Linked DNA regions of Arabidopsis thaliana. The protein of the gene in region 1 interacts with the protein of each later gene in a pairwise test. Each region holds a gene or a part of one and is shown in the gene's direction. Other genes may lie near its edges.

What was found. The genes of interacting proteins can lie anywhere in the genome.
Region 2: the proteins of EXO70B1 (region 1) and AT1G17615 interact in a two-hybrid assay, tested with the Arabidopsis thaliana proteins (one study listed by BioGRID).
Region 3: the proteins of EXO70B1 (region 1) and VAMP721 interact in a two-hybrid assay, tested with the Arabidopsis thaliana proteins (one study listed by BioGRID).

What each region holds. Positions count from the first base shown.
Region 1 is NC_003076.8:23,619,152-23,625,112, reverse strand, and holds EXO70B1 (exocyst subunit exo70 family protein B1), read left to right. Parts: upstream 1-1,569; 5' UTR 1,570-1,778; coding exon 1,779-3,653; 3' UTR 3,654-3,961; downstream 3,962-5,961. Other genes in the region: SNX2a (sorting nexin 2A), read left to right, coding at 118-378, 478-564, 873-959; AT5G58420 (Ribosomal protein S4 (RPS4A) family protein), read right to left, coding at 4,217-4,645, 4,745-5,023, 5,127-5,204, 5,512-5,514. UniProt on the Arabidopsis thaliana protein: Component of an exocyst subcomplex specifically involved in autophagy-related, Golgi-independent membrane traffic to the vacuole. Regulates autophagosome formation and autophagy-related Golgi-independent import into the vacuole.
Region 2 is NC_003070.9:6,056,739-6,061,351, forward strand, and holds AT1G17615 (Disease resistance protein (TIR-NBS class)), read left to right. Parts: upstream 1-2,650; 5' UTR 2,651-2,702; coding exon 2,703-3,181; intron 3,182-3,265; coding exon 3,266-3,929; 3' UTR 3,930-4,113; downstream 4,114-4,613. Other genes in the region: AT1G17610 (Disease resistance protein (TIR-NBS class)), read left to right, coding at 157-1,419.
Region 3 is NC_003070.9:1,330,966-1,336,367, reverse strand, and holds VAMP721 (vesicle-associated membrane protein 721), read left to right. Parts: upstream 1-2,716; 5' UTR 2,717-2,941; coding exon 2,942-3,131; exon of another isoform or gene 3,132-3,637; coding exon 3,638-3,779; intron 3,780-3,858; coding exon 3,859-3,979; intron 3,980-4,168; coding exon 4,169-4,231; intron 4,232-4,367; coding exon 4,368-4,511; 3' UTR 4,512-4,902; downstream 4,903-5,402. Other genes in the region: VAMP726 (vesicle-associated membrane protein 726), read right to left, coding at 298-444, 538-600, 685-805, 895-1,036, 1,419-1,608; CTF18 (P-loop containing nucleoside triphosphate hydrolases superfamily protein), read left to right, coding at 5,282-5,402. UniProt on the Arabidopsis thaliana protein: Involved in the targeting and/or fusion of transport vesicles to their target membrane.

The sequences.
Region 1 (5,961 bases):
CAAGTATCTTCATTATTAACTAGTGGACACTTGGCAGATTGTCAGCTTATGTTGGAGATGCTGCTGGAATTTGAGCTTCACTAAGAGCTGTTCTTTTATTTTAATTGTTCATTTCAGGACACACTCCATGAGTACCTTGGCATGATGATGGCTGTCCAAGGCGCATTTGCAGATAGATCTAGTGCTTTACTGACAGTTCAGACGCTTCTATCAGAGCTTCCTTCTCTGCAAACTAGAGTTGAGAAGCTAGAGGCTGCATCATCGAAGGTATTTGGTGGTGACAAATCAAGGATCCGAAAAATAGAAGAGTTAAAAGAAACAATCAAGGTCACTGAGGATGCAAAAAATGTTGCCATCAAAGGGTATGAGCGAATCAAGGTATTTAGTAATAACCCTATGCATATCACAACTTGTGCTGTTTTACCAACATGATATGAATATTTTGGTTATGCTCTGTGTAAATTTGTATCATTGCAGGAAAACAACCGATCTGAGGTTGAGAGGTTGGACAGAGAAAGGCGTGCAGACTTCATGAACATGATGAAGGGTTTTGTTGTTAACCAGGTACGTTATTATTATGCAGCACATTAACATTAGAAGGATGATGCCTTTCTTAATTGCCCAATAGAGTGAAGAATGTGATAAGGAGATTGTTTAGTTTAAGCACAAAGTGTGTGATTTCATTCTTAGTGAGATTTCAAGAGTGGAGAAGTAGAATAAAAAGATGGCATTCATGGGTCTCTTGTAGGCAAATGAAAATGAGTTCTTTTAAAGATAATGCGGTAGAAGAGAGGATAGGAATATATAAATTTGCTAGTAATCAAAGAGTCCAGAGTTTTAAAGAAAGAGTTGTGTTCTTGAATTGGACGCAGGTTGGATACGCAGAGAAAATGGGAAACGTCTGGGCAAAGGTTGCAGAAGAGACCAGCCAATACGATAGAGAGAAGCAGAGCAGCTAACAAACACAGAAAAAAAGAGAGTGAACGATGTTCATTTTGGCATAACCATACCAAATCCATGTATGGCACAGAATCACATTGCGTAATAATGGTTTGTCAAAAAGTGTAGTTTCCTTTTTCATATGTTGTATCTATCTTGATAGAGATTGGTAAACGTTCTTGTTTGTTTTCTTTAGTTGCTGTAAATTAGTTTTCTAGAAGCATCTCTGACTACAGCTGCATTGACTCATACCCATTGTTTTCTGGTATATGCCGCCAAAGATATATCTGATAGTTTGGTAAACGTTCTTTGTTTTCTTTAGTTGTTGTATATAAGTTTTCTAGAAGCAGTTCTGAGTTCTGACTGCGTCTGCATTGCCCTCATACCCATTGTTTCCTGGTAAGTAACAACCAGTTCGTTTTAGTGAGTTGACCGAGAGAGAAAATGAACCATCGAGCCACCAATCTTACTCGTAAACCGGCCGGTTTATCTCCTAAAGCGAGACCAATGAGGCAATGACAGAAAAGTCACGGAGACGTCAATATTCGCGAAAGGGAAAGATTTCACAAAAAGACAGCAGAAATTATCGCAATATTACACGCCCATGCCATTTTCAAACAACGCGGCCAGGTCAAAGATCGCGTCTGTCTTAAGGGGTAGTTTCGTCATTTCGACAAGTTTTTTCTATCCATCCAGTCTTCTTCCTTGCTTGGAACTTTCTTCGTCTTCGATTCCCTTCCTTGCTTCTTTCCCCGTCGATCTCGCTGTGTGACCTTTTTATTTAGTGACTCGAGATTACATAAAATCTTCTATACACTGGTTCCACATCTGTTTCAATCATGGCGGAGAATGGTGAAGAGAAGTTACTTGCTGTTGCGCGTCACATAGCCAAAACACTTGGCCACAATGAATCCATGGCCGATGATATCTTACAGATCTTCTCCAACTTCGACGGCAGATTTTCTCGCGAGAAGCTCGCCGAAGGTCAAGCTGGAGAAGATGGATCCGGAGTCGCCACACTCGAGCGAGCTCTAAATTCAATAGACGGTCAGATCTCTCGCTTTGTTGCTGCGGACCAACCAATTTGGGCTGATCCTGCAGATTCAGCTGCTTTCCTCGACACAATCGATGAGCTCGTTGCAATCATTAGAGAGTGGAGTCCCATGGCTTCAGAGAAACCTATCGGCATCTGTCTAACACGCGCCGACGATATGATGCAGCAAGCTATGTTCCGCATCGAAGAAGAGTTCAGGTCGCTTATGGAGCGTGGAGCTGAGTCTTTCGGACTTAATCCTCAGGGAGACGCTGGTGCGATGAATCATCGTTTCGATTCTGAGGAAGAAGAAGATGATGACAGAGACTTCAACAACGGTGATGATATTCAGATCCCAGTGGCACAGCCACTCACTGACTACGATCTTATCATTGATGCTCTCCCTTCGGCGACAATTAACGATCTACACGAGATGGCTAAGCGAATGCTTGGCGCTGGATTTGGTAAGGCGTGTTCTCATGTTTATAGTTCTTGTAGGAGAGAGTTTCTGGAAGAAAGTATGTCAAGGTTAGGGTTACAGAAGCTGAGTATTGAAGAAGTTCATAAGATGCCGTGGCAGGAGTTAGAAGATGAGATAGATAGGTGGATCAAAGCTGCTAACGTTGCTCTAAGAATCCTGTTTCCTAGCGAACGTAGACTCTGTGACCGTGTCTTCTTCGGTTTCTCCTCTGCTGCTGATCTTTCGTTTATGGAGGTTTGTCGTGGCTCTACCATTCAGCTTCTGAATTTCGCAGACGCGATTGCTATTGGAAGCAGATCGCCTGAGAGATTGTTTAAAGTGCTTGATGTGTTTGAGACAATGAGGGATTTGATGCCTGAATTTGAGTCTGTGTTCTCGGATCAGTTTTGCTCAGTTCTTAGAAATGAAGCAGTAACTATTTGGAAACGGTTGGGAGAGGCGATAAGAGGTATATTTATGGAGCTTGAGAATTTGATCCGGCGAGACCCGGCTAAAGCTGCGGTTCCGGGCGGTGGTCTCCACCCGATCACTCGTTATGTGATGAATTACCTCCGTGCGGCTTGTAGATCCCGGCAAACCTTAGAGCAAGTGTTTGAGGAAAGCAATGGTGTCCCTTCTAAAGATTCAACTCTGTTGACTGTACAGATGTCTTGGATCATGGAGCTTCTAGAGAGTAACTTGGAAGTAAAATCTAAAGTGTACAAAGATCCAGCTTTGTGCTATGTGTTTCTGATGAATAATGGGAGATACATTGTTCAGAAAGTCAAAGATGGAGACCTAGGATTGCTGTTAGGAGATGATTGGATTCGGAAACACAATGTCAAAGTGAAACAATACCATATGAATTATCAGAGAAGCTCATGGAATAAGATGCTGGGGTTGCTGAAGGTGGATAATACTGCAGCAGGCATGAACGGTTTGGGGAAGACCATGAAGGAGAAGCTGAAGCAGTTCAATATTCAGTTTGATGAGATATGTAAAGTGCATTCGACGTGGGTAGTGTTTGACGAGCAGCTGAAAGAAGAGCTAAAGATCTCACTGGCCAGGCTTTTGGTACCGGCATACGGGAGCTTCATCGGCAGGTTCCAAAACCTTGGAGACATAGGGAAAAACGCAGACAAGTACATCAAGTATGGAGTTGAGGACATAGAGGCGCGTATTAACGAGCTGTTCAAAGGGACTACCACGGGAAGAAAATGAAGGTAACGAACACAAAAATAGCCTCTTGTAACATCTTCGTAACGAACCACCTGCTAAATGACCAATAGCGAAGTCTTGCAGGGAGGATTTGTAACATGTATTGTGTATCCTTTTAGACAGTTAGCTCAGCTCTGTTGTGTTGTTGTGTAATGTTGTATTGTAACTGGATCACTTTTTTTGTCATTGTAAAAAGAGAAAACAGTTGAAAAAGATGACATGTTAGGGACTTGGATCTACTTCTAAGTCTTGAGTGCATATTTTATCAATATGTTCTTACATCTAAGTCTTCCCTTTTAACAAAGGAGTCAACACAAGATTTTTCATTATTTTACTGATTCTCAATAATTGTGTAACTATCACCAAGTAACCATAACCAACTAGTACCAACTCTTGAAGATAGTAAAAAACAAGAGAGGACACAATGGATATTTGATGTTTTTAACTCTTGAAATAAATAATATAAGAGAAGTTTCAAAACTGAGCAGAGTACCAAAAGAAACGAAGTGAGTCTAGGAAATATGAAACGTCTAAAGAAGCATAACAAAGAACTGAAAATCACAAAATTAAGCAGCCTGTTGACTAGCAAGCCTCTTCCTGGCCTCCTCGATGATAGTCAGCTTGATACCTTTGCCCTTGGGAAGAGACACCCATGGCTTTGTTCCTTTGCCAATGGTGTACACATTACCCAACCTTGTTGCAAACTCATGTCCTGTTGAATCTTGGATGTGGATTGTCTCAAAGCTTCCCTTATGCTTCTCACGGTTTTTAATCACACCAACACGCCCTCTGTTTCTACCTCCTGTAACCATCACAACATTGCCAACATCAAACTTGATGAACTCGACAATCTTGTTGGCCTCAAGGTCGAGCTTGATGGTGTCATTAGGCTTGATGAGCGGGTCAGGGTAACGGATGGTGCGACCATCGTAAGTGTTCAGGTAAGGAATGCCTTTCTGTCCAAACTGGATAGATCGAACCTTGCAAAGTTTGAACTGTACAAATAGAAGACATAATGTTAGAACACAACATATCCCCATCATGTCAAGTATCACTCTAAAAGACAACTAAACAATGACAAGAGGAGAACAAACCTTTGCTTCCTCATCCTTGATGGAGTGGAGACGGAAACGTCCCTTGGTATCATAGAGAAGACGGAAGTTCTCATTGGTCTTGGGGATAGACACAACATCCATGAAACCAGCAGGGTAGGTCTTGTCCGTCCTGACTTTCCCATCAACTTGGATATGCCTTTGCATCAAGATTGAAATCACTTCACGGTAGGTAAGAGCATACTTCAACCTGTTCCTGATGATAAGGACGAGGGGAAGGCACTCCCTTGACTTATGTGGTCCAGAAGACGGCTTTGGGGCCTGTGTGGAACCAGAAATGAACATACTTATTCAAACAAACCCAAGAGATATATATAAAATTGAATCAAAACTGAGACAAGAAGAGAGAGAGTAAAAGACATACAAATGCACCACCAAGTTTGTCAAGCATCCAATGCTTAGGCGCATTAAGCCTCTTCAGATGCTTCTTCAAACCCCTCGCCTGTAAAATTTAACAAAATAAATGTTAAGAGATGTTATTATTAAGGAAATCTCTACTGCTATGTATATCATCATCATGACCTAAATCAGCGACACATTTGAGATCTAATGAGCTCAGATCTAAGGAGAATCACCATGATGCATATAATATTCACAAGTTATCGAATCAATCAAATTGCTAACAAAACCCATTCTCTAAGTCACTCTAACACAAACCCACCAGAAACGAGAGTCGAGTTAAGGAACTATCTAGATGTAAACAATCACTAAGCTCAGAAGAAAGAGATAGAGATTAGAGGATGACGAACCATGTTTTGAGTTTTGCAAGCGTAGCTCCGATCCGAACTACCTGTTGTTTTCTTAGAAACAGCTCCGAACCACTTGAGAGAAAAAGTGAGAGCACGTACAAAACCCTAATTGGCCATTTATATACCCTCTTCCAACTCCATGATGTTAGGGTATTATGGGCTTATTAAGTGAGAGGCCCATTTATATATATGGGTAGAGATTTGTTGTGGGTAAAAAAATATCCAGCCAGGCCCAAACTCGAAACGAGCGTGGCCATAAAAAAACTAAATTCAAATACTGAACGGGTTCTGGGATTTATGGGTTAAATGTTAAAACCTTCATGTGTTCCGGAATTATCCGTCAGTATCTATTTATTTTCTGTATTTTGCATTAGATATTTATACTCGGTGTCATACGTATTTAAATTTTTTTCTTCTAGTATCATATATACTAATATTATGAATTGTACA
Region 2 (4,613 bases), on another chromosome or scaffold:
ACAGCTTTACAGTGACAAGTCAACGCTAAATGGCCTGGTACCTTATCTTCATTTCCTTCAAATGGTATAGAATGCACACACACACTGACACAAAAAAAAAAAGAAATATACTTTGTAATCTTTGTTTATTTAGTTGCTGCTAAAACAAAAAAGTGAATGTCTACTTCTTATTCTTTTTTGTTGGCTGGAAGAGAGTTGGATGTGTTCTTGAGTTTCAGCGGTAAGATAGCTCTTGACGTTGATTTTGGTTATGATTTGTCACGAAATGGTATCAAAGCTTTTAAATCCGAAAGCTGGAAGGAGAGTAGCTTCAAACCAATTGATCTACGAACGCTTGAGGCTTTGACAGAGTCCAAAGTTGCAGTTGTCATGACGTCTGATGAAGAAGTTTCTTCAGTTGGGTTCCTTGAAGAGCTCATTGTAATAATTGAGTTTCAAGAGAAACGTTCACTCACTGTCATACCAGTCTTCCTCACAAAACACCCTTTGGATGTGGAAAAAGTCTCTCAAATATTTCCTGAGAGAGCCAAAATTTGGAGGACTGCAATTGCCAAACTGGACAACATAGCTGCACAGTACTCGTTTTCTCGGAATCTTGCGGTGATGCACGGAACACACCGGATCAAGCAGATTGCTGATGACATTAGGCTTATGTTTCTGTCCTCTGCATCAAGCGATTTCAAAGGCCTTGCAGGAATGGACCGTCACATGAAAGCATTGTATGCGTTGTTGGCTTTAGAATCTGACGAAAAGGTTCGTACCATTGGTATTTGGGGTAGTTCAGGTGTGGGAAAGACAACACTTGCAAGGTACACTTATGCAGAGATCTCTGTTAAATTTCAGGCGCATGTTTTCCTAGAAAACGTCGAAAACATGAAAGAAATGCTTCTACCGTCAGAAAACTTTGAAGGGGAAGATCTTAGAAGTGTGAATCATGAGATGAATGAAATGGCGGAAGCAAAGCAAAAACACCGGAAAGTTCTTTTGATAGCTGATGGTGTGAACAACATTGAACAAGGAAAGTGGATCGCGGAGAACGCCAACTGGTTTGCTCCAGGAAGTAGAGTCATTCTAATCACTCAAGAAAAAAGTTTGCTTGTGCAATCAGGAGTGAATCATGTGTATGAAGTTGGTTCTCTAAGATATGATGAAGCTCTCCAACTCTTCTCACGTTTTGCTTTCAAGCAGCCATATCCTTCTCCTGATTTTGAACGCCTCTCAGTTCGTGCTGTTCAGCTTGCAGGGTTTCTTCCTGTGACCATTAGACTGTTTGGTTCGTTTTTAACTGGTAGAGATAAAGAGGAGTGGGAAGCTACACTGCTTAAACTCAATGCAAAGCAAGGTAAAGACATAAAGGAAGTTTGGAAGATTATGGAAGCATTAGAAGATAAAGATATCGTGGAAGCATCCCAAAGATAAAACACCTGTATTATATTCCCTTACATCTTGTTTGGTTTCCTCAATGATAATGCATGTGCGTCAACGCTTATAAACGTAGGTATCAACAAAGCCCATCTTTTATATTTCTTTCGCACAGTTTTGGTCATGGAGTACACAATGGTATTGTGTGTTATCTCTTATCTACTTATAGGTTTATCTCTGTAAGTCTGTATAATCATCTCTTCTAAATATCCAAGATTTATGGAAAAGGGAAAATTAGTCTAGTTATAAACGAATAGCCATTTAATCTTACTGGCCAACGAAAATAGAAGTAGCAGAAACAGGGGACACATACCTGCTTGAAACCGCTGCAGATACAGAGAAATGGACAAATATTAATGCATTCACACTGAAGGTATATTATTATGTGTTGAAAATGCTATATTTTACATTGGCTATGTTTTAAATTTATCATTTTATTTTTCTGACTATCATTTGTTGAAACAATAGTAGACTATAAAAGTACTAAAAAAACAAAAGTATATGATATATGAGAATGGATTAAAGAATACAGACTAGATGGAAAACAAGCTGATAGAGACGTGGAAGCTGACGTGGTAAGCTGTAGATGGTGATGCGACATGTTAAAGACACGGGAGCCGAGTTGGCAAAACGTTTGAAGATTTGGGTTTTTCACTTCAGCAACATGTGGAATCACTACAAGTCTACATAAGCTAAATCCGTTATGACCTCATGATGAAACATTCAATCCTTGGCTAAAGTCACTTCGAATTTTTTTTAGGTCCTCCACGTTACCAATGACAACTCATAATAAAGAATAAATAGTAATTAATATATTTACGTAGCACTGACCACAGTTTTTCCGTTTGCTCAGCATCAAAACTATTCAACCATCACCGACCGTTTATTCCGTGCAGTATACTCTTAGGATTGCACGTTCCCTTATATCTTAGAAAAAGTCTCAATGGTGAAATATATATTAAGATTTTCTAGAAATAGAATTGGAGTTACATCATCTGATGACTGATCATCAAAGCATTAACACGTAGATCGCCAATTCGAATATTGATCGAATAAGCGATACGTAGGTTTTATTCTTTGGACCCTTTCAGTTTCATGACTTTTAATAACCTTTTCTTGGTAAATTCTCAACACTTTCTTGGAAATTTTAATTATTATGCTATCTGAATCTATATGTACTATTGAGCTTTGCTCTCTTTCGCTAACTTCTCAAATCAAGCCATCTATCATCTTCCAAAGTTTGAAAGTAAAAAAACCGATGTTTATTTTGATTCAGTCCAATGTATTCATCATCGTCTTCTTCTTCAGCTACTCCACAAAAGTTCGACGTCTTTCTGAGTTTCAGAGGCAAGGACACTCGCAGGACCTTCATTAGCTTTCTTTACAAAGAACTCATTGAAATGGGTATTCGAACTTTCAAAGACGACGTTGAACTCCAGAGTGGTCGTCGGATTGCTTCAGATCTCCTCGCCGCGATCGAAAACTCCAAAATCGCCGTTGTGATTATCTCAAAGAATTACTCTGCGTCTCCCTGGTGTCTCCAAGAGCTAGTGATGATCATGGATGTCGAAAAGAAGGGTTCCATCATCGTTATGCCAATCTTTTACAACGTCGAGCCTGCTCATGTGAGAAGACAAATCGAACAGGTCGCTAAACAGTTTAGGAAACATGAAGGAAGGGAAAATTATGAGACTGTGGTGTCATGGAGACAAGCTCTGACCAATTTGGCCAGTATCTCCGGCCATTGTTCTCGTGATTGGTACTTTTCTATCTTTGTTTTATTATCACAATTTGAATCCTAAGTGGTTTTGTTGAATCAAGTTCGTTCTTTCCTCTGTTATAGCGAAGATGACTCGAAGCTACTCGATGAGATAACCAAGAGAATTTCTGACATGTTATTCTCGGTAACACCACCAAGTGAGAGCATCAATAACCAACTTGGATTTGATGCACGCATGAAAGAGTTGTATCCATTGTTGGATTTGGATTCTAATGAAGGTGTGAGAGTGGTTGGAATTTGGGCAAGAGGAGGTAATGGAAGATCAGCTCTAGCTAGATACGTTTATCAAAAGATCTTTAAGAAATTCCAAAGTCATTGTTTTCTCGAAAACGTCAAAGGGATCCCTCACGATTGTCAAATGTCGAATCTAAGAGACGAGTTTCTTATCAGGATTCAAGGAGGGTACTCGAGGATGAAGACCTCAGGGTTGATAAAAAAAAGGCTCATGAGTCAGAAAGTTCTACTTGTGGCTAACAATGTCGACAAACTCGAACAGTTAGATGCTCTTGCAGAATATTTTAACTGTTTTGGTCCAGGGAGCATAGTGCTCATAACTACACAAGACAAACAACTTCTTGTTGCGTTTGGGATAAAGGTTGTGTATGAAGTTGAGTGCTTGAGATGCTTTGAAGTTCGTCAACTGTTTCGTCAAATCGGCTTTAGGGAAAGAGATCTTAATGTCGGTTCCGAGTTGTCTTCACCTATATCCGGGACTGAATCTTCTTGAATGGTAACTCTGTTTCTGGTCCTTCTGGAATAACCCTTAGAAGCACTTCCTAGGGTAAACCGTTAGGCTTATTATACCTAAGACTTACGAAGATTTAGCTTAAGATTAGGGATTGTTTGCTAGTTACTGGTATAAGGAATTAAATTAATCTCCATTGATCCAATAACAATGCATGTACAAAGTTACAAAATGCATGTAAATGTATCCCTTATTTTATATCTGTTTGTCTCAGTGTCTCTGTGATCACCTCTTCAGACAATCAAGCTATGTTAGTTCTTTGAAAGAGGACTAGAGAATACTAACTTGTTGTCCAAGAATCCTGGGCTTGTATATTTCATTCTGTAGTTGCTGCGTTACAGACACTTTTTCCTCTGTTTTAGGAATTTCTTGATTTACAAGTAATTAATTCAAAACAGAAAGTTATGTTCTGTGCTTTTCTTACTTATGTTTGTCTAAGTTTAAACGCGAGTGTATAGACATCGACAGAGAATCCAGATCAAAGGCGGATAAATTTGGGAGATTTTAAACAATTCCTCTGCGTAACCAATCGTGTAAACTCTGTATTAGGCAATCTCTCTGATTGCTTGCAGGAGAAGTTAGAAACGGATGAACCTGGGCCCTTCTATTACATTGGAAGTCTTATTGTCATGCATGTGAATTATTATGTAATGAAAAAGCCCAATT
Region 3 (5,402 bases), on another chromosome or scaffold:
TATCAGATAATGTGTCAAGTTGGTTGGAGGAATATAAAACCGATCATTAGACTTGTAGATTACAAGAGCATAAAGGCCTAACCTATATAATAAGTAAACACAAGAAAAAGCTTAAATCTCTCTTCCAAACAGTTGATTTCCTAAGGATCATTCTGGGTACCACGTCAATTTTTGTTTGCCTAAATAAAAGAAGAAGGAAAAATACAAAAGAGAAGGATAAAAGGGGATAACTATACCGGGATGGTTCTAATTAGCTTAGTAGCTATGTGGGTGGTCTGATCCACCGGAATCGAGTTCTTAAGTACACTTGAAGCCATGGCAAACCGACAAAATGATGATGAGAATCAAAGCGACAATGATGCCAAAGACTATGAGCTTTATCTTCATGTTTTCGAACCACAACTTTCTTTTCATCTTTGTTCCTTGTGTTCTAAAATCTTGTGCCTATTAACAAACAGAAGAAGAAGAGCATGTTACCACTAGATAATAGTGATGTAGTGTCTCTTATACTGTATTTGAGATGTGGTTATTATTAACCTGTGAGCGAAGGTTCTCAGTTTTGTCTACTAATAGCTCGATTTTCTCTCCACGGTCAAGGACCTGCCATAGGATTGAATTGCAGAAAACACATTCAGCTTACAGGTGAGGAGTTGTCGATGAAAAACATGGATAATTTAGTCTAACCTTCTCAATATTCTCCATCATAACACCCTTCACTTCAGTCACCTGAGCCTTAACTTTGGAAAGTTTGCTAATCTCCTCAGGATGATCCGCACAGTACTGCATGTGCTCCTTCAATTTAGACCTACATTCATTACAACAAAACCATTTAAAACACACATCCACAAAGATGGAATTGAAAAGAAATGCTCTGACTAAAAATGTTAAAAGTACCCGAATTCTTTGTTCAAGCTGTTGGCTTTAGCAGTGGAAGCTTTTCCACCACCGTATCTCTTGTTGAAATCCTCCTTGACTCTCTCCAAGAAAGCCATTGGTATCTGCCTCCCAGCAGATTCAATAACAACAACACAATAGGCTGCATAACAACAGAGGGAAATGAGAAATCTTATTGTCACATTCCAACTAAAGCAAATTCGTGCATTGGACAACCAAAGCTTTCCAAACATAAAAATCTTCACAATAAACATTCCAAAGAAGCCATGCATAAAGCTGATTAAAATCAGAACGAAAACAACAGATTGCATATCCAATCAAGACATGGCATTGATTAGAAGAAAATCTGAATATAACACAATGCCACAAGAATCGAGAGCAACGAATATCCTACGAAATTCAAAGCTACACTGTTCTCGAACATTTGATTTCGAAACTAAGCATTCATAAGAAAACAGATGAACCAAGGCATAAACAGAGAAATACAGAGCAAAATCGACACAGATCGGGAGATAGAGACTTACTGAAGCCATTATCAGCGAGATAATTGAAAGTGTGACCGTCGCAATTGTAGGTAAATTTGTTGTTCGAGGACGGAAGTTTCTGGAGACACTGAGCGGCGACGGAGGTGAAATTGCCCTTGAACTCGGTATACTCGGCGAGGATCACCGTACCGCGAGCGACGAAGCTGTAGATCAACGATTGTTGTCCCATTCTTCCTTTTATCCAGATGAGAGAAAGATAAAAAAACGAAACCTAAGAACACCACAAAAATCCGATCGAATTGATGAGAGAGATTAGTAAGCGATGTAAAAATACACAAGGGAACGAGGGGTAGCGATGGAGAAAGCAGGACGCAGAGATCGGAGAAGAGAAACTATATGAGAGCGCTGGATTTGCGCGAGTAACAGAGACATTATTTTCCCTTTGGTAACGTTCAAATTTTGAATTTTTAAATATAAAAAGTAAATAAAAAGAAAAATTCATCATTTGTATAGTCGAAAATTGCCTTAATAAACTTTATTTTGGTAAATAATTCACGTCTAATTAATAATAGTATCTTCATGTTTTTACACCACGGTGGCTCGTTTTTCAATTCAAATGTGAAATGTTTATCAATGAGCATTTTAAAAAACAAATATATATATATATATATATATTATATATTGATTTTTTATAAAGAAAATTGCGATGTGTAAGGGATATTTGAGTTGTTAAATTTTCTATAAATTATATGTTATGTTACTTAAAAGAACGTTCAATTGATAATGTTGCAAACCTTCCTACCAAAAAAATTAAAATAATGTTGCAAACCTTTTCTTTCATTCCAATTCACTAACCTTCTATTCTAACCACAACCTAACTACCTAAATTTCAATTATTTGATTGTTGATCAAAATCTTTAGGAACACGTTAAACAAATTAATTAGCAGGTTCTAAACAATGCAGAGCAATTGTAGATGACAAGAGATAACGGTAGAAGTTCGAATTTTGTTGCTGTAACAAGATACTATGACTATGAGCTCCCCCCGTCCATTAAGAATTAAGAAATTTGGTTAATTACAACATTTGTTTTTATGTTTAAGCCTTTTGTTCGTAACTGAGCTAATACTGGAATCACTGATCAATGATGAATTTGGAAAAAAAGATATTTTGAGGAAGACAGAGACAGACTCTCTTCGACCATGGGACCTGAACTTGTCCTAAAGTTGGTAATTACTAATTTGTGCCATCGGCAGAGTCCACGAGCTTTTTGGCTGGATCCGGGCGGGTCCAACTTTCTCGACATTTGTTTGATCTCTCCGTTTTGAAATTGTTTTTTTTTAGTCCTTAAATTCAAGGTTTTATACTATTTTTGACCCAATCTGACTACCTTAAATGACAACTTTACCCTTGCCCGCTTTTCAACTTTTTCTTCTCCCATGTCCACTTTAGTCCTCGTTTTGTTCTTTCATAGTCTTCTAGATCTGTAGTTTTTTTCCGCGACCGCCCAAAAAATTCTCTGATCAGACGGTCGATTGGATCGGAGATTTAAGGTAAAGAAAAAATGGCGCAACAATCGTTGATCTACAGTTTCGTAGCTCGCGGCACGGTGATCCTCGTTGAGTTCACTGATTTCAAAGGTAATTTCACCTCAATCGCTGCTCAGTGCCTCCAGAAGCTTCCGTCTTCGAACAACAAGTTCACCTACAACTGCGACGGTCATACCTTCAATTACCTTGTCGAAGATGGATTCAGTAAGTCACTTTTCGTTTGATCTATGCATAGGTTTTAATCTTACACCATTCGGTGCTTACCTCGATTTGTTTCTAGGTTTATTTGCCTAACCTATCGATTCGTATGGATTTGTGCATCCTGAGTAGTCTGATTTCACTGAGGAACCGCATGAACCAAGCTTTTAGGGTTAGATCTATATTTATTAAACGCAATAAATCTCTGTAGAGTCTTACCTGTATAATCACTCAGATTTGGACAGAATCCGTGGTAGCTTTGGTTGATACTATGTGGAAGAACACCAACATTGATCTGAGACAGGGTTTTTACTGGTTGCTTTATTTGCGTATAGTTTCCTAGGTCATGGGTTTTGGCTGGCTTCATTTTTCAATGAAAATCTGGGGTCTTATTGTAAGCTTTTGTGACTATCCTTTAGTTGTTGTAGCCATATCAATTTCATATTAAATCAATGTCACCTGATTATCCCGTAAGGGAAGACAAGGAGATTGATTTTGTTCCTGTTGTACAGCCTATTGTGTTGTTGCGGTTGATTCTGCTGGGAGGCAAATTCCCATGTCCTTTTTGGAAAGAGTAAAAGAAGATTTTAACAAGCGATATGGTGGTGGAAAGGCTGCAACTGCTCAAGCAAACAGCTTGAATAAGGAGTTTGGGTACTTTTTCATTATCTCTTCTATTTGGATGATCTTCTCTTTTATATTCGTGGACTGACTCTTTTTGGTAACTTTGAAGCTCTAAACTGAAAGAGCATATGCAGTATTGCATGGATCATCCTGATGAGATTAGCAAGCTTGCTAAGGTGAAGGCGCAAGTGTCAGAAGTTAAGGGTGTAATGATGGAAAACATTGAGAAGGTTTGAATCTGACCCTTTCTGTCCTCAATGTATATATTTACATCTATGGTTGACCCATCTGAAAGAGCTCATCTAGTCATACTAAGTTACTGTGAAATCAATTACTAATAATTCAATGCATTACATCTTACGGGAAATGTCCAGTTTACCAATGTAACACCGCTTACATATGCGACTCATTATTTGCAGGTTCTTGACCGTGGTGAGAAAATTGAGCTTTTGGTGGACAAAACCGAAAATCTTCGCTCACAGGTTAGACTCTCTCATACCCTTATCTCCTGCATCTATTTGCCTACACTCACACACAAAGATGAACATGCTTTTTGAGTTCATAGCTGACTCATCCTATTACCATATCTTGTGTCTAACTGAACTCAAACTGCCACAGGCACAAGATTTCAGAACAACAGGAACGCAGATGAGAAGAAAGATGTGGCTTCAGAACATGAAGATAAAACTCATAGTGCTCGCCATCATTATCGCACTGATTCTCATCATCGTGCTCTCAGTTTGCCATGGGTTTAAGTGTTAAGCCCAGAAAATTCAAAACTTCTGAGATCTTTCTCACTCGGTACATCGTAGTGCCTTCTCTTTTATTGTTCGATCTTCAATCTAATGTTTCTGCTTGAATTGGTTTTGTATAGATAGACATATATGTATGCTACTCATTTGCTATATTGCTTGCATCTGATGACATTGATCCCTTGCGAACCAGTCAGTACTTGACAAGAGATCCGAAACTATTAAATGATTTTGTTGACTGAAGATTGCATTGTGGTGGTGATGATAAAAATTTGAGATTGTATTGACGATTATACGGCGTGATGTGTGCTGGTTACTTTAAATTTAGATAAGAGTAGTGCCCTCTCTATATCGTTACTAGGGATGGTAGTACATATATATACGTACGTCATATTCCGACCACCAAGGTTGTTTTGTTCAAACTCCTCCCGCAACGCTTGAGTAGATCTTGTCGGCCATCGGGTCGTTTATGAGTTCAAACATACGTGTTTACTCTGCTATCAGTAGGAGCAACCAATACAGAGTTTAGTAGTACATACAGAAGCATCTTGTCAAGAAACAACAATCTGTAGTCACAATGGTATAAATATTTGGGCTATTTTAGTTAAGTGGGCCGAATATTTAATGGGCCGTAAAACCTAATTTGAGATCCTGCAACCAAAACTTTCCCGCTAAAACACTCTCATTCCCGCTCAAGCTCACACCAGATTCCGATTTTCACTTTTGTTCACCGAGCACCAAATCCCAACAAAATTCCGATACGGTCAATCATATCAGAGAATGGAATTCGATATCCCATTGCCGGAGGAGCTTGAGCTTCTAGAAGCCAATTCTCATTTCTACGAAGAAGAAGATGAGTACCTAAACTTTGAGGAGCCGCCATATCCTTACCCAATCGACG